Linked DNA regions of Ovis aries. The protein of the gene in region 2 purifies or fractionates together with the protein of the main gene of each other region. This does not show direct contact. Links are inferred from orthologs where the notes say so. Each region holds a gene or a part of one and is shown on either strand. Other genes may lie near its edges. The genes, in order: PFN1 and VASP.

Region 1 (9,042 bases), on a different chromosome or scaffold from region 2:
ATGTGGATGAATGGAGAATCGAATTACAGTGAGTGGGGAACTGGAAGGCCGAAGAATTAGCCAGGAGTGGGGGTACAGATTAGCTCATGTGGGAAAGAGAGGGATGATGCAGAATCTAGTAAAGGGCTGTTGTTTGCCCAGAATTGCATCTTCAGAAGCTTAAGAGGTAGATTTTCGACTTTGGTGTGGTTGCTCAGACCAACCCCAGGAACGAGGATGTGCAGGATGTGGGAGCCAGTGTGCATGGTGGAACCTGTGGGGAGCAGAACCCAGGGAGATGAAATCCAACTGTTGTTTGCTTCTCTTCCCCAGGGCTTCCTTGTGGAGGCTCACCCAGACAATGCCTGCAGCCCCATTGCCCCACCACCCCCAGCCCCGGTCAACGGGTCAGTCTTTATTGCACTGCTTCGAAGATTCGACTGCAACTTTGACCTCAAGGTTGCTGAATGTGGTGTGGGAGCTGGGAGGGTGAGCACCAGGAACAAAAGGTGGCAACGCCCATGACGGTTTCTTATCTGCCTTTTCTCCCTAGGTCCTTAATGCTCAGAAGGCTGGGTATGGTGCAGCTGTGGTACACAATGTGAATTCCAATGAACTTCTGAACATGGTGTGGAATAGTGGTAAGGCTGGACATCTACATTTTCAGTAGAGCTTAGACTGAGAGGATGGCAGGAGGGGTGGAGCCTTAGGGAAATCAGTGCTTTGGGTGGGATGGGACAAGAGAGTCAAAGGATTCGTGTGGCAGCTTGGGTCCCCAGTGTAATGCCCTCATCCCTGCAGAGGAAATCCAGCAGCAGATCTGGATCCCGTCTGTGTTTATTGGGGAGAGGAGCTCCGAGTACCTGCGTGCCCTCTTTGTCTACGAGAAGGGGTAGGACCTGTCCCTCCTTCCTACTCTTCCTTCAGCACTTCCATGCCATCCTGGAGCCCAAGCCTGTGCCCCAACCATTCAGCCTCAGGCCCATCATACTCTTCCTCTTGGTACTTTCTCCCCCATCCCCACCCGCCCTGTCCAGAGCCAGTTACTTTGTCCCTCTTTCTTTGCCCTTTTGCCTTTTCCGCCCCTCTGATATTGGTCTTCCTTTTCCCAGGGCTCGGGTGCTTCTGGTCCCAGACAATAGCTTCCCCTTGGGCTATTACCTCATCCCTTTCACAGGGATTGTAGGACTGCTGGTTTTGGCCATGGGAGCAGTGATGGTGAGTAGCTCAGGGACCAAGATGGGAGAGTCAAGGCCAGATTTTAAAGCCAGATTGGCTCTGGGGTTGCAAGACAGGGATGGTTTATACTGGATTGTCCAGATTTCTTCTAAGACTGATGCATCCACTCCCTTTCACCAGATAGTTCGTTGCATCCAGCATAGGAAACGGCTCCAGCGGAATCGACTGACCAAAGAGCAGCTGAAACAGATCCCTACACATGACTATCAGAAGGGTGAGGAGGGTTAGAGGAGCAGGCCTTTCCCACCACTTACCTGGTTCTGATGGAGTTGAAGCCCAGGAGATAAGGGGCAGAGATGGCAGGGAGATGTCAGTTTGAGATGCCATCTTTCCTTTTTAAAGCCGTACATAAAAGGACAGAACAGGTTTAGAGCAGGAGATGGAAAACAAAGATGATTAAATGGAATAGTTGGGGGGAGGGGGAAAGATGGAGGACCTTTCTCGTAAGAGAGAAGGTGGATGAAGCAGAAAAATAGGAGCGGGGAAGATGCTGCCAGAGAAGGCAGGCACAGGTAAGAAGGGGCTGGGTCTTCAGGCCTGGAGCCTCCAATGCCCTTATAAGGCTATGGCAGAAGCCCCGCCCCACTTCCTCTCCTCCCACTCACTATCTCTCCACTAACACTAACCCCCAGAAAACCCACTTCCCTTCTTACCTCTGCTTCTCTTTGCTTGTGCCTTCTAACCCCAGATTCCTCATGTTCCACCCTGCTCATCTTAGCTCTTCCTCTGGCTCTTTAGAGATAGAAAAATATCTTGCAGGTTTAGCACAGGCCTCCCAGAGTGACTTCCTGTGGGCCCTGGTTTAGAATGGTTCTGTAAAAACTTTCTTCTTCCACTAGGAGACCAGTATGATGTGTGTGCCATCTGCCTGGATGAATATGAGGATGGGGACAAGCTGAGGGTACTCCCCTGTGCTCACGGTGAGGCCCTCACTTCCTGTGCCCATGTCCCCAGGCCCCTAGCAGGCATCAGGTGCTTTACCTCATTCCTCTTGGCAGCTTATCACAGCCGCTGTGTGGACCCCTGGCTCACTCAAACCCGGAAGACCTGCCCCATCTGCAAGCAGCCTGTGCATCGGGGTCCTGGGGATGATGAGCAGGAGGAAGAAACCCAGGGACAAGAGGGTGATGAGGAAGGGGAGCCAAGGGACCAGCCTGCCTCAGAACGGACCCCTCTTCTGGGCTCCAGCCCCACACCTCCCTCCTCCTTTGGCTCTCTAGCTCCAGCACCCCTTGTCTTTCCTGGGTCTTCAACAGACCCCTCACCCTCTACCTCTTCAGCTGCCATCCTGGTTTAATACTCCCTTCCGCACCACCTCTGATGACCTGTTTGCACAGCCCCTCTTGCTCTCTCCAGTCTTCTAGTTTTGAGGGATAGGAAATACTTCCACCCCAGATTTCTCCCCTTACCCAGCTCCATCCTTTTGAAGGGGTTCGGGGTACAAAGGGACAGGGTCTTCACTTACTGGGTTAATAAAACTGTTTTTGTGGACTAAGGAAGGGTGAGATCATTCTCACACAGGGAAATGTATTATCTTTTGGGGAACTGCCCCTTTCTACCATACAGGGGTGTGCGGGGAGGGGAGGCTAACCTGCCGTCTTGGGGACAGCCCCAGTAGGCATCTGTTGTGACTCAGAGAGGGAGAGCCCCACCCACACATGAAGATGACTCAACTGGCTCTGCCTTGCCCACAGGCCTGGACCCATTCTCTGGTCTGGATGGCTCTGTTCCATTATCCACCAATTCATCTAGCTAGCACACTGGGAACCTAGGGCTGGATATGTTATTGGAGAAGGCCTGGCCAATCTGGCCAGGTGTTTAATCCTGGACATGAAAGCAAGAAGCTCAAAATCTTAGACTTTGTATTTCCTAAACTCTCCTGCCGCTTCTAACCCCAAGCCAGGATAAAGGAGACAGGTCACAAGAGCTGTCTTCCATCCTGACACCCAGGCTAAAACCACACAGCACCTTGTTAGTAGAATCTTTTTTATTCAGAAAAAAAACCCAAAAAACAAAAAAGTTTTCCAACCACACACAGGAGGGGTACGGGTTGGGGGCAGGGGATGTCTGTCCATCCAGCCCAGGCCCCCAGCCCATGTGGTTTTGGCAGCAATAAGGGGTGTGGGGTAATGGCCCAAAAAATAAAAATGGTGTATGTATGTGTGTGGGAAGGAGAGGGGTGCAAAAGCAGTGGGGAGTGGTGAGGGGAGGGCCAGACGAGGTCAGTACTGGGAACGCCGCAGGTGAGAAGCCATTTCATAACATTTCTTGTTGATCATACCGCCGTGGACACCTTCTTTGCCCATCAGCAGGACTAGCGCTGGAGGAAAGAGAAAGGAGGCTAGGACCCAGGTGTCACCACCCCACCCCCTGCCAGCTGTTCAGCAGCTGTCCAACCCTGGGGGCTGTAACCCAACCTCATCTCTCCCAACCCCCCACACACAGGCAGGCTGTCAGTCACCCTGAAACAATAGGTCTTTTCAAAAGGGGAAAATCAAGCTTAAAGGCTGGAAAGGAGCACAGTAAAATTTAGGGGTCAAAGGCTCCTGGACTGTTGACTCATGTGTTCAGGCTAGAAATGGCTGTGGATGAGCCGGCCACCTCCAAGTTTTCACAAAAGAGCTCAAAAGACAAGAGCAGAATGCTGACTTACAATGAACCTTTTACCTCCTCCAAGAAAACAGGGAGTTTCTCCTCTGAAAATGCTCAAGGTAAGAAGCAACTTAAGAGGTAATACAGTTCAACTTCTCTACACCGTATGGTGAGGCGTATGGTGAGGCACTGAGACAGAACTAGAGGAACAATTCGATGCCCCAGCATCCAGCAGGCTGGGAGTAGAAACCTGGTTTGATCCTTTCATACTAAGTGACCACACAGAAGAACCCAAAAGATTAACAAAAGGAGGTACGTTAGGGATTTTGGAGCTAGAGAATGGGTAAGAACTCACTCTTGGCAGTCATGGTGACAGTGATATTGAAAGTTGGGGCTCCACCGGTGCTCTTGGTACGAAGATCCATGGTAAATTCTCCATCCTGCAGCAGTGAGTCCCGGATCACAGAACATTTCTGGCCCCCAAGCGTTAGCCCATTCACGAAAAAACTTGACCGGTCTTTGCCAACCAGGATACCGACCTCAGCAGGCTGAAAAGGGAACCAAGCACCCAGCAAGTTAGTCAATACACCAAAGTTCTCACCTGTCTTCCATTTCTCAAGGAAGCTAAGCCCCCTGGGGTGAAAGGTGTATGTTATGTGCTTTGTACACATTCGTGAAATTTGAGAAACTCAGGATTGTTGGAAGTGCACAAAAATATGATCTTGAAACCTAGAGAATGGTACTAGGAAGGGACAACATGGTCCTCTGACTCAGATGTCGATTTAGATGTCGTTTAATAGGGAAAGCAAACCCAGTAAATAAATGGGGCCAAAAACCAGTTAAGAGAATGGAGTGGAGAGCCTTGGATGCTCAGAACTCTCCTTCAGGAAAAGCAGAAGCGAAGAGGGGAAGGGAGGGGGCGGGCAAAGCAGGAGAAGCAACTTTGCCCTTATTTGGTCAAAGGTTCTGCAGGAGTTGTTAGGGGCCCGGACGCCTGGGTCTCTAAGTAACTTAGAGTTTAGGTTCAGGTATCTATGCTCTAAGATGAGCAAGCAGATGCCTTGGGGCATTCAGCGAAAGTCGAAGAACTTTTGGAGGGGGCCTGGGGCTAGACCCGACAGCCAGCTCTCGGGTCTAGATACCCCGGGGAACGTATCTTCCCCTCCCCCTTACACCCCAAATCCCCACATCCGGTCCCCTCCCGCCCGGAAATCCCCTTCCCCCCCTTTCGAACTTCCGCTCCCCCTCCCCACTTCCGGGCAGTGTGGACAGGGGAGTTGGTGATGGGGACAGCAGCAGTCATCCCTTCTTCCTTCACTTATACTGTCCTAGAACTTCTCACAAAGTTCCCCTGCTCCAGGCCCTGCCTGATGGCGGGAAGGGAAGGCGAGGGGACTCCCGGGACTGGTCTCTCAAGAATGCTGAGTCCGACCGGCCGACTGGCGGGGAGGGGGTCGTCGTGTGGCGCCCTAGCCCTCTCTAATGGAGTTGGGAGGGGCAGGGAACCCACGGAGATCGGGCTAGGGACCCAGGCCATGCGACTGGGGCTCCCTCCCGGTTCAGAGGAACAATAGTGGAAGGGGCGCGAGCTGGCGGCCGGAAGTGGAGCTAGGGGTCCCGGGGTCCCCAAGTCCCTGCTCAATCAAAATCCTGGGTAGAAACTACGGCGCGTGCCCGACCCGCCCTGGAGGAGGCGGAAGTGGGCCGCCGCACCGGGCGGCGCACCCTCCCCGCCCCGTGCCCCGGATGTAACGCCCCGTCGCGGAAAGCGGGGCGGCGGGCGGGTTGGGCGCCGCCGCCCGGGGCGGAGGATTCAGGGGGCCATGGAGGGGCCCGCTCACGTGCAGCCGCCATTCGCGCCACTTCCAGGGCAAGGACCGGGTCACGGCCTTTCGCCGCCCTCCGCAGACCGCGCCCGCCCCCACCCGAGTCCCTCCCTCAGGGTCCAAGCCGGGCCAGTCCCCAGGACTGTGCAGGCCTCTCAGTACCGTGATGTTGACGAAGGTCTTGCCGGGGACGGCGGCCCAGACGGAGGGCGAGTCCTTATAGCCCACGATGGCTGCGTCCTGACAGGTCCCGTCCGCCATGAGGTTGTCGATGTAGGCGTTCCACCCGGCCATGGCGCTGCTATTGGGGCTGCTCTCGGGGCTGCTGCTGGGGCCGCGGGCTGGGCTCGGGCTGGCGGGCGGGGGAAGACGGAGAGCTTGGGGCACGCGCTGCCGTCCGGACCGCGGCTCTGCTAGCTGTGCAGCAGCCCTCGCACCGCCACTTCCTGCTCCTCCCCACCCCCCTAGATTTTTATTTGCAAAGGGCGGTGGGGGCGGGGCTTGCTCCCCACTCCCTCTCTCCCTCCCCTCTCCTGCCCAGATACCGAACTTTGCAAATGCATTTTAAAAAATCCCTCCCCCTATTGCAAAATTTGCAGAGTTCGATGGAAAGCGAGGCAAAAAGAATCGGGGTGGGTGGGGATGGGTTAAGGTTAGGGCCCGCTCCACTCCGCCTAAACTATCAGACTTTAGTGGAAGGAAAGGTAGTGAGCCACAGGGAAGAAGGAAAGTGAAAGAAGTAAGAATTAGCAAACTGCAAATTTAGCAAATTAAAGAGGATTCGGGTAACTCAGGGTTAAACAGAACGACTCCCCCTTCCCCCACCTCTGCCGGGGGCAGGAACGGCGGGCGGCGGCGGGGCGCGTGCGCCCGCGCCTGCGCCGGGGCCGAGAGGGAAAGCGCGTGGGGCGGTTAGGGCAGACGGCGGGCTTCGCGGGCGCGCGCCCGGGCGCGCCAAGCGGGACTGATTTGGACCCTCGGTGAGGGCAGGCAGGCCGGGGACGTGTCTCCCGCCGGGCGGAAGGGGCGGAGGCGAGGCGTGGCGTGTGCCTGGCCGCTTCTGCCCTCTTGATTTTATTTATTCAAGAAATAAGGTAGTAAAAGGAAATTAGACCAAATACCCCCGGCCGTCTTCAGAATTGAAGGCACCCACCAGGGACACTTCTGTCCCCAGCATCTGCCCGGGCGGCACAAGCGGTACTCACTGGAGCCCACCTCGACTCCAGGGGGTTGTGACTCACTGGATCGGCTCCAGCCTCATTCCTCACTCCACGTCCCAGCCCTGCCCGAACCCCGGTCAGCAGTTTGGGTCACCGGCTGTGCCCCTTGGCCCGTGTCTGCAGAGGTCATTGAGCACCGTGGGGCCAGACGGGCGGGCCTATTTTCCAAGGCGGAAGAATACTAAGCGGTTTCTCAAGATTGCAACTTTTTCAAGAGGAGGAAAGTCCCTTCAACTTTGCCCTTTTGGGTTTTTCTTGTTCTTTTTCAGTAAAACTTAAGCTAAGAACTTGTGTGCGATGAGTTCGCTGGCTATCCACCGGGAAGCGGGTGGGGCAGGACCTGGAGTCCGGCTTAGGTGACTCTAGCTCGCGCTGGCCGCCGGGGCCGCTGAGGGGCTAGGCCGCTTCCGGTCCCTCGGGGGAGGGGCGGCTCCCGGGCGCGAAGGGGCTTCGTTTCCCTCCTGTCCTCCGTAGCGGGCGCGGCCACTCGGAACCCACGGAGCACCCGACGCCCCCCGAACCAGTGTTCCTCGACAGCCGCCGCGGCTGAGTCACTGGCCAACTCGGGCGGGGCCGCAGGCGGGCACGTGGCGGCGCTCCCCGCCCGCCATCCTGACCTCTGGCCTACCGCACCCCCTACCCCAGGGTGGAAATCTCCCGAGAGGGAGCGGCCAGAGATAAGGGGGTGGGGGGTGGCGAGAAGGCTGGGAGACACACCGCGGGGCAGGGCGGGGAGGGGAGCTCGGGAGAGAGCTTGGGGGTGAGTCACCGGGCGCCGGCCGCTCAGGCGCCGGCAGGCTAGGTCTCCTGAGTCCGGGGCGAAGAGCCGAGAAGCCGGTGACCCTCGCCCGCCGGCCGGCCAGCCGGCTTGAAACCCGCATGCCCTCCGCTCCTGGCCGGAGCTGCAGCCAAAGTCAGGGCTGACTTTACTTGCGCCGCACCCACTGAGACGGAGAGAGTCACAGACTGCAGAGACCCACTTCCCCGCCGTGCTAGAGGCCCACCCGATTGGCCCCCGGCGGTCAGACGCTCAGAAAGGGGCACTTCACCTTCTGTCCATTCATTTTTTGGGGGGTCACTTTTGATTCAGCACCATTCATTGATGGGCTGGGATCACGCCCTAAAGCGCCAGCAGTCGCGATCGGTGGAGAAAGGGCTTCTGACTGACAGCTTCCACGCCGGCGATAAGTGCTGTCCCAGCGCTATCAGCAGGGCGCCGCGCCAACTCCTAGGGCCTGTCTAAATTCGTCTGTCTCCCCCCCTCCCCCACTCCCCTCGCCGGCCTGGAGAGGGTAGGATGGGGTGGAGCGGAGAGAGACCGCCATGAGGACCCTGAGAGGTGAGACCCTCTCGCCTTCTGAGTGGGCAGTTCAATTTAGAGCTCTGCTCTCGGCCGGAACCCCCTCCCCAGCTCCCATTGAGGACAGAGGCAGTCCCCCGCCCGCCAAGTGAGCTATGGATGTCACTCCTGCAGCCCCTTTTCCAGGCCCCCTCCCCAGCCCTGTAGGGCTCAGGTTACCCTTGGCCTTTCCTAAAGGGCACTAGTTCCTCTTTAACCTTTGCAAAAGAGGAATACAATCCTGACACGGGGAGAGACCCCTCCCCCCAATTCTGAAGCCCCTCTCCTCTTTCTGCCCAGGAACGGAATTAAAAATAAGGACTTTTATTGGAGAACAGAGAAAGGAGGGGATAGTCATTGACCTTTTGGGAAGGGGGCAGGTGCCTAGGGCCAAAAGCTGCTGCTTTAGGCTGTAGTGGGCACTTGGCTGCCAGCCTGGCTTCAGGGGGAGGATGGAGAGGGGGAGAGGCGGGGCTGGCTGGGGTACAGGGTGGCTCCAGGATAAATTCCCGGCCTGAGAGGGGGTGAGCTGACACTGTCCCAGCTGCCACCTAGACTTAGAGCCCAGCGAAGACATCCCAGGTCTGGTGAATCTTCCAGCCCCAGGGGATGGGGGTGGTAAAGGATGAGGGCTGTGCTGGCCTGGGGGAAATGTCAGCTTGTGCTTAAGAATCCTGGAGGAGTTGGAGCATACAGGATGGGGGTACCCAAGGATAGGAAAACGAGACTGTGAAGAGAGGCATACAGAGATGACGGAGAAGGGGAGTTAGAGTTGGAGCCAGGTGGTGGAATTTGGGCCCCCTGAGGATTTGGAGAAGGCTGAGGAGCAGGAAAAGTGAGGTAGAGT
Region 2 (8,453 bases):
GGATTACTGAGGGAGGGAGGGACATGCCCATCCTCATGAGAGCAGCCATTCAAATGACACCAGAAATCTTAGCATTTATAAAAACTGGCAGATTTATTCCGCAGGGGCCCATTTCCAAGAAGCTAAAGGTGAAGGTAAGAGGGGAGGTTCCTCCCCTACTCCTTTCCCCCTTATCTTGTTTATCCCCAGGGGGTAAAAATGGCCTAGACCCCAAAACCTACCCAAATAAAAAACCAAAAAACTGAGGTTCCAAAAAGTTACAGCATCTTAATTCCTCATAGAAAAGGGGAAGGAGACAGAGGGAAGGGAGGGAGGTCCCTGGGGTAGGGGGAGGCACCCCCAGCCTGGTGGGACAACCCTCCTTACACAGCTGTCCCAAATGGGACAAGCCAGGGACACAGCATTTAAAAACTCCCACACCCCATTTTATCAAAACCAAAGAGAAAAAAAAATTTTCCTCCCCCCACAACAAACCTAAATATATATATATATATATACTTTTTTTTCTTAAAAAACAAAACTTCAAAGGCATTAAGCGTTAAAGTGAATCTACAAGGGAATGTGAAATTCCCTCCTTCCTTCCCCCTTACTGTGGGGTTACTTGGTACATCCCCAGCAGAGGAACCAGCCCCAAGGGGATGGCAGAGGGGAAGGATCAAAGGGAACAAAGGGTGGGGGCTTCCCCAGCCAATCAGCAGCCAATATGGGTGTGGGCACGGTGCTGGGGAAGCCACACCCCTTGGAATTTTCCAAGTGACATAGGGAGTGGGGACGATGCATTCCTGTGTAGACTTCAGCCAATTCCAAGTCGAGGCAGGGAAAGCAGGGTGACAGGTGGAGGGGGTATGCAGAAAGGAGAAACTGGATTTTCTGGGGCCCTGTGGTCAGGGGGCACCCCGCTTCCTCAGCTCCTGGACAAAGGCTGGAAGGAAACAGTGGGCAGAGGTCAGGGGCAGAGCCTCTTCCCCTTCTCCCTTCCAAAACAAGGTTCCAAGGGACACCATGCCTCCAAAATAAATAAATGCTTAAAAAGGAAAACACCTCACCTTCAATTATTTCCTCTTTCACTTTCTGCAATTCCTTCCTCACCTCTTCCAGAAGCTCCTGAAAATGATGGGGGTACAACCAATGAGGAAGAGTACCTGGACTTGCAGAAGTGAATCCCCAGTTTCTTAATGACTGAGGGGCCAGAGGAAGGAGGGTCAAGACCCGTATCGCACACACACCATGACATCACTGGCCAGGCCACAAAGTGACTGAGATTTCTAGAGGAGAATTCTGGATCCTCTGAACCAGAGAGAAAAGCAATGGAGAACATCCAGTACCAGGGCTGGCAAATGAGACATTCCAGTCTCCTGCCAACTCCGGTTGGCGATAAATGTCTGCGGCCAGTGTGCGGAAAAGGATTCTGGATATTCACCAGGAATGAGTGTAGTGATGTTAGCAAGGTCTGTCATGGGCGTTGTACAAGGCGGTTATGGGGTCTGTCATCCCTGACACGATCCAATTTCTCCAGTACTCAGACTGGGAAGCTGAGGGTTCCAAGGCCTTTTCTAGAATCACATAGCAGGTCAGTGGCAGAGTCTAGACCCAGATCTTTCTATCCCCTAACCCTCACCCCCAGTCCCCTCCCCTACCTGTTTCACCCTCTCCAGGTCTGACTCATCACTGGAGCTAGGCGTAGGTGGGTGGGCCTCGGAAGTGGCCACTGAAGACGACGACTTCATCCTGGGAGAGGTGGCGTGGTGTGGGGCAGAAACAAGGTTAGAGAGAGGGTCTGCCTCCCCTGCCTCCCATTCCAGGGGTCACTCTGTGTTCCTCCCTACAAACTTGGCAAGTCCGACTCTTTCTAGGGGTGGGGCCCCAGTACTGATGGCCCACCTTGGCAAGGTTGTGCTGTTCTTCTCCCAGGGTCTCCGCACAGATTCTGGGGGACAGACAATAAGTCAAAAAGATCAGGAACAAGGAATGCCCTGCCTCAGCCTTTCTTCCCGAGCCTCATCAACCCCCATTCAAAGAACCATCTCAGGAGACTACAATCCCCAGGATTATCTGTACAGACTCTCCCATGAAGGTGTGTTATACATGAGAAGAGGGCATCCTGGGACTTGTAGTTCCTGTGACTAGAGGGGGCTCTCACTCACTCACCACTGTGGGCTGGGACTCTGGCGTCTGACTCCTCCTGCTGGTGGGAAATAAAACTGTCATGAGCCAGACATGGCCATTCTGCTCCTTTTCTTCCTCCACCTTCAAACACAGCCAATCCCTATCACAGCCCCCGCCCCAATATTCCTACTCTAATGGTACATCCTAAGGTGTATAAGGCAGGAAGGGTCCCTAACTCACATTGGCAGATTCATCCTTGGTGGGTTTCTCTCCAACTTGCGTGGCTTTCCTTCTGTGAGAGAGAAAGGCAGAAACAGATGGCTTCTGTCCCCTCTCAGCCACTCAATAGTTCCCTTCCCCAGAGTTCTGGAAAAGTGGGTCCTAGGGTGCCGACTTCTGGAATTCATCAAGGCTAAGCACATTTTAATTTTAGAAGTCAAAGAGAGTGCTGTTCTCGAATGAGGGGGTGGGGGTGGCGTTTAGGATTCCTACATTTGGGAATCACAAAATTCTCAGGGCAGAGTCCCCAGCTTCTGAGGTGGGGTCATCTAAGGTCCTACAATTCTGGGTTCCAGAACATTCCAGAGGCTACCTAGGGGGTTGCAAACCTCAGTCATCTCAGGAGAATGCAGTCCCCATCATTATATCTCAAACCTGGCTGTCAAAGGATGAACTTTCACCCAACGAAACAAACTAACCAGGAATCTGAGCCCTCCCCACACCTGGTCCTACTGAACCGGAATCTCCAGGTGATAACTGCTGGGTTGAGGGGTTTGTTTTGAGAGCTTTCCAAGACCATTGAGAGCTCTGAGCTCGGGCTCACCTCCGGGCCAGCATGGCGTTCATCTCCTCCATGAGGCCTCCGCCCGTGCTTCGACTGCTCTCAGCTTTGGGGGCCACGGGCCCCGCTGAAGCCTCCTCCTGCTGGAGAAATTACAGAGAAGAGAGGGCTTTACGGGCGGGCCTCCCAGCCCTCCTGTGAGGCTCCCAGGCAACTCTAGCCTCATTCCATTATTATATCAGACCCGTCACCCCACATCCGCTGCGCCTGCCCCTCACCTTGCTAACTTTCCTGAGTTTGGCGCCGGCAATGGCTGAGGCCAGGCTGGGGGCCCCGGTCCCTCCACCACTGGGGCCTTGTGCTGTGGGGAGAGGGGGTGCCGGGGGCGGGCCTCCCCCTGCTCCCTGTGTGGCGGCCGAGACCCCTGAGGAGGAGAGACCAGGGGGTGGGGGTGGACCTGGAGGAGGGGGAGGTCCCGGGGGCGGTGGAGGTGCCCCAGCTGGGGGAGCAGGCGGGCCTCCTGTAAGGAACACAAAACAGGAGGGGTGCTGAGAGAGAAGCTTCATGCTTTGCTGTCCGGCTGGCCCACCCCCTCCTCTGGGGCGGTCCCCTGACCCCCCGAGGCCATTTGAGCAATCACCTGCGTTGGAGGCTCTGCGCTCCCGCTCCATGAGCTCTGACTGCTGCTGCCTGGGGAGGGAGGGCGAGTGGCTATCACCCAGGGCTCCCAGGTGGCCAGCAACCTCCCGGATTGCCCCTCAGAGGTGTCCGGCAGGGCTGGTTCCTAAGCCCCACTCATGTCCTCTATCCCCGAGGGACCCGGGAAAGGGCTGGGGGGTGGGGTGGTGAGGGCAGGGACAGGGCAAGACCGGGATGGGAGCGATCCAGTCATCAGACCATCATGAATCACAAAACGCCCAAGATCCTTTAAACAACCCCGTTCTGGACTCTGCAAGTCCAGGGGACTGGGATTGGGATTTGAAGGGTTCTGTAACTCTGGGCATCAGGAGTTTTTCAAACTCCAAGGCGGGGAGGGTGGTTCTTAAGGCTGTGGATTTCTAGTCCCCTGGGAGTTGGAACATTCTGAAAATTGAAAGTTGGACAGGTCTGAACTCTAGGCGTCAAGGGTTTTGGAACCACCTAGAACTCTGGCTGGGGGAAGGTTTCCCACCCGGGGACCAGCCCCACCTTTTCTGCTGCTCCATCTCCTCTGGCGAGGGGCCATTCTGGGCAGACCAGGTGGGAGGCGCTGTAGGTGGTGGTGGGGGCGGGGGCCCACCTCCTGGAAGTGAGAGTAAAGGCTAGTGAGTCACACAGAAGCCAGCCCCACCCCTTGGCACGCTCCCGAGGGGCCTCCGGGTACCCTGTGAGGAGGGTTGGCTCCCGCTTCCCCTGACTGAGCTGACAGGTGGTGGGCACTGGAAGGATACCCAGATCACAGGCAGGACAGCGAAGGCCCATAGAAGGGGGTCACCCACCCCAAGGCCTGCAGATGGGAATTGGCAGGGACAAGACTTGAATTCAGGCAGATTCCAGAATCCAGGCTCTTAACGCACAGTCACAGCTGCTCAGACCCCCTACCTGAGAGCTCAGAAGAGGCTGACAGCCCCCTCCTCACCCAGCCTCAGGCCTCCGGCTCCCGTTATTTCTTGTGCTTCAGACTGCCACTGCAGTTGCCCTTGGAAGCAAATGCCTCCACCATTTGACAACTGGCGAACCTAGACGCACAGCCGTCACCTAAAACCGTTGCTCCTCAAAGTGCTCCTTATGGACCGGTCAGCTCTGGCATCATCAGGGAGCTTGTTGGGAAGCACAGAGGCTCCGGTCTTGGCCCACCTACCTGATTCAGAATCTGCATTTTTTCTTAGATGACTCGCAGGCACATTCCAGTTTAAGAAATACCAACTGGAAGTATTTTCTTAACATTGTGGCTTGAAAACTGACTGACAATGATGTCAGTCAGTCTAATGGTTACCTGGAGAAAGGGCAAAGGAAACCTCCCGGAGGCCTGAAATATTTCTATCTTGATCTGGGAGGTGGTCACAAAGGAGTGCGCAAGTGTAAAAATTCACGGAGCCAAATGGGCTCTTAGGAACCATGCGTTTGACACGTGGGTGCACGCAGGGCAAAGAGGAGCCCACAAAATTGGGTTGGCGAAAAAAACCTATTTGGATTTCTCCGTAGCATTGGAAAAACCTGAATGAGCTTTCCGGCCAGCCCAGAAACTCTCCGTAGCAGCAGTGAATGGGCCCTGTTTTCAGATGAGTATACTGAGGCCGAGTGGTAAAGGGGCAGCCCCAGGCCCCACGGCAGGGCTCAACGGTCCCCTCCGCCCACTGTCTCTAACCTTCCAAGGCCTCTAGGGCGCTGGCCATGCCATTGGCAAACTGCGTGGCATCCTCCTTGCTGCCAAAGTTGAGGCCCCAGACTTGCCGGGCATCGCGCCACTGGTGGAAGTTGGGGGTGGCTTGGTTATACTTGACACCTCGGACGATGGCACAGTTGATGACCACCTGGCGGGAGGCAGGGAGGGGAGAAGTGGATGGGGGTGGTGAGGCCCCGCAGGCAGAGGGGGCGAGGAGGAGGGGAGCCTCACCTGCTGGTCCGGCTGCATCTTGCGGCCGACCACCCGGAAGGAGTTGGCGGTGGGGTTGTGATAGATCTGGACGCGGCTGAAGGCCTGCGGGCCCGTGCCGGCGGGCAGCCAGCGCTTGTTGCTGTCATCATAGAGCATCACCGTGGCCCGGCTGGTGCACACAACCGTCTCGCTGCAGAGAGGCGGGCGGGGGCAAGGGGGAGAGGCCAGTTAGCTCTGGGGAGCCTGGCATCCTCCCCCCAGGGGCCGGTCACCTTCTCGTTCCCCTGGGAGATTCACAGACACAAAGTCAGTGTGCCAGGAAGAGGGACCCAAGGAGAGGAAGAGGAAGACAGACCGAGAGAGAGGGCTGAGGACAGGCCCTCAGAGAGACCCAGACAGGGAGACTGGAGAAGAAAAAGACGGGTGGGACGACAAAAGACAGACTGGGAGAGACAGACAAATAGACAAACCGGGGGATGTGAGACAGACAAGGAAAGAGACAGACAGTCAAACGGGGAGCAAGAGACAGGAAGAGGACGAGTCAGACCGGCTGGAAGAGGCAAACATACAGACTGATGACGGGGAGAGAGGTAAGAAAGGGGGTCAGATTGTTACAGGGGAGGCGGACTGAGATGGACCGAGAGACAGAGATGTGGCGTGAGAGCTGATGGGGGGGGGCCCGGGAGAAGCGGATGCAAGGGACAGAGCAGGTGTCCTGGGCAGCATTGGGAACAAGCCCCTGCCCGATGCCCTTGGAGCCTCAGTTTCCCTGTCTCTGCCAGGAGGCTTGGACCTTCCTGCCCCGACTCCCCACTGTGGAGGGAGGAAGCTGAGGCTCAGGGAGGTGAAGGGTGAGGCTTGCAGCAAGTTGGGGACCGATGCAAGATCCCAGGCTCTTCCCCTTCCTGCTGCCCACCCCATCCATCCGGCACCACCCACCCTCCCCCGCCCCCTGGCACCAACGGCCATCAGCAGACACTCCCTGCTCTGTGTCCAGCAGTGACCCAGACAGCCCCAGCCCCCACCCTGCAGGGCAGGAGAGCATCGCAAGGGACTGTCCTGTCCGCACATGGTGATAATCCAAGACCAGGCCTGGGGCTGCCCAGGAGGGCCTGCCCCAGCCTTTGGATCAGAGAAGATTTCCTGGAGGAGGTGACATCTGACTTAGCCCTGTGGGGAGGGGGCTGAGTAACGCAGCTCAGGGTTCAGGATCTGATATCCTCAGACGTAGGTTCAAATCCCCGCTGGGCCACCTACTCCATGTGACTCAGGCGAGCAACCTTCCCACAGAAGGCATCTTCTTTGCCCGCAAACTGGGGAAATGACAGACCCCACCTCCCAGGGCAGTGGGAGAAGTAAATGAGTCTGGGCATGTAGAGTGCTTGGCGTGGTGCCTGGCATGAGTGCTGAGTAACTGTCAGCATCCCTTCCCCAAGCACTCTGAACAGGCACCAAGGAGCCCTCCTCCACCCCTCACCAGTCCTTCTGGGAAGGTTCAATGCCCTCCTCTCTCAGTGGGGAAATTCAGGCTCCCAGACGGGAAGTGACTTGGCCAAGGTCACCCACAAACCAGGGGGAAGCACTAGTCCCTGCCCAGCCCCACCCCCACCGGACTTTTTCCTGAAAAGAGGAAGTTGGTGGTCAGAGGTTTCTGGGGAGAGAAATTACACCCCGCAATGGCTCTGTCTCTACCAGGGCTGGGGGCTGGAGCGTGACAGTGACACTATAAAAGACAAGGCAGGGAAAGCCCCCTCAGCTGACCCAGATCCGAGTTCTTAGGCCAGGGAGCTAAGCCCCCAGGTTTGCATAATTAGGGGGCCTCCCTCTGCCCTTTCTCTGGAGTCTCACATTTTATTCTCACTGCAGCTCTTCCAGGTGGGCTGTTTCATCCTCATTCTGCAAGGACTGCAAACAGTGGCACAGAGAGGTTGTGTGACTCACCTAGCAGAGCGAGGATCTGAACCCAGGCCACCTGGCCCCCAAGTCCACTGTCTTCACCACTGGGGACTGTGTGGGCCCTACCCAAACACCAGGTGCTGGTTCTAGACAAGCGTAGCCTCAGGGGCTGTTTCTGGCTTCCACTGCCCCCGGCAGGGCAGGGTTAAGGCCTCGCCCACACCTGCCACCCACACCCAGGGCAGACTCTGGCCAGCTGCCCAGGGCCTTCGTTGCTACCCCACCCTAGCTGCACTTTGCTCTTTCCAAGAGCCCCTGCCCTGCTCAGTCTCTGGACTAGCCTGAGCTCTGGGTGTTTGGTGAGTAACCCCGGACTGGTCTTGTCCCTCTCCAAGCCACGGTATCCCCATTCTAGCAAAAGGGTCCTGTTGAAACACAAGTCAGATCGCGTCTCTCCTCTTCTTGGAAGCTCCGCTGGCAGCTCCCAGCAGAGTTTTTATTCTGGCCAAGTTCTCTCTGGGGCCTTCATAATCTGTATGATCTCTGATCTCCCCTCGACCGGCCCCACCGGCCATTCTAGCCAACACTTCAGCATGCCAGACACATTCCCACCTCAGGGCTGTGCTCTCGTTCTCCCTCAACCTGGATTTTCACCTCCTTCAGGCCTCTGCGTAGCCATCACCTCTTCCGAGGAGCCCTCCCTGACTACCCTACCTGGGAAAGCTCTCACTGCAAACACCGTTGGGTGTTTCATAACACCCAATCCCTGACTGACAGGGCCTTATCTGTCTCCCCCATCAAACTGTCAGGACCACAAGGGCAGGGATTTTTGCCTTTTCTGTTCACTACTGTGTTCTCAGAACCTAGACTCGTGCCTAGAACCTAGCAGGTATCCAGGAGTTGTTAAATTAGCCGTCTATAAAAAAAGGTTTTTTTTTTTTAACAGCCGCTGACATGTATTGGTTAGTCTGTGTCCCAGACACCGTTCCAGGTACTGAGCTCCAGCTGCCACAGCGAACCTTACTGTGAACACCCTTTTTCCAGACAAGGAACTGTGGCCACAGAGGGGTGAAGACAGTCATCCCAGGTCAC

The links.
Region 1: the proteins of VASP (region 2) and PFN1 purify together in Homo sapiens (affinity purification with western blotting; 3 studies listed by BioGRID and IntAct, with this or other methods). This does not show direct contact. The link is inferred for Ovis aries from reciprocal best matches to the Homo sapiens genes VASP and PFN1.

The regions. Positions count from the first base shown.
Region 1 is NC_056064.1:26,322,183-26,331,224, reverse strand, and holds PFN1 (profilin-1), read right to left. Parts: upstream 6,085-9,042; 5' UTR 5,931-6,084; coding exon 5,799-5,930; intron 4,359-5,798; coding exon 4,166-4,358; intron 3,539-4,165; coding exon 3,441-3,538; 3' UTR 3,188-3,440; downstream 1-3,187. Other genes in the region: E3 ubiquitin-protein ligase RNF167, read left to right, coding at 313-386, 533-620, 781-871, 1,092-1,197, 1,339-1,432, 2,058-2,138, 2,217-2,515; ENO3 (beta-enolase), read left to right, coding at 8,180-8,195. UniProt on the Homo sapiens protein: Binds to actin and affects the structure of the cytoskeleton. At high concentrations, profilin prevents the polymerization of actin, whereas it enhances it at low concentrations. By binding to PIP2, it inhibits the formation of IP3 and DG.
Region 2 is NC_056067.1:52,896,569-52,905,021, reverse strand, and holds the end of VASP (vasodilator-stimulated phosphoprotein), read right to left. Parts: intron 5,656-8,453; coding exon 5,484-5,655; intron 5,401-5,483; coding exon 5,235-5,400; intron 4,170-5,234; coding exon 4,076-4,169; intron 3,578-4,075; coding exon 3,528-3,577; intron 3,408-3,527; coding exon 3,166-3,407; intron 3,031-3,165; coding exon 2,930-3,030; intron 2,399-2,929; coding exon 2,347-2,398; intron 2,186-2,346; coding exon 2,149-2,185; intron 1,928-2,148; coding exon 1,882-1,927; intron 1,729-1,881; coding exon 1,638-1,728; intron 1,105-1,637; coding exon 1,047-1,104; intron 923-1,046; coding exon 885-922; 3' UTR 69-884; downstream 1-68. UniProt on the Homo sapiens protein: Ena/VASP proteins are actin-associated proteins involved in a range of processes dependent on cytoskeleton remodeling and cell polarity such as axon guidance, lamellipodial and filopodial dynamics, platelet activation and cell migration.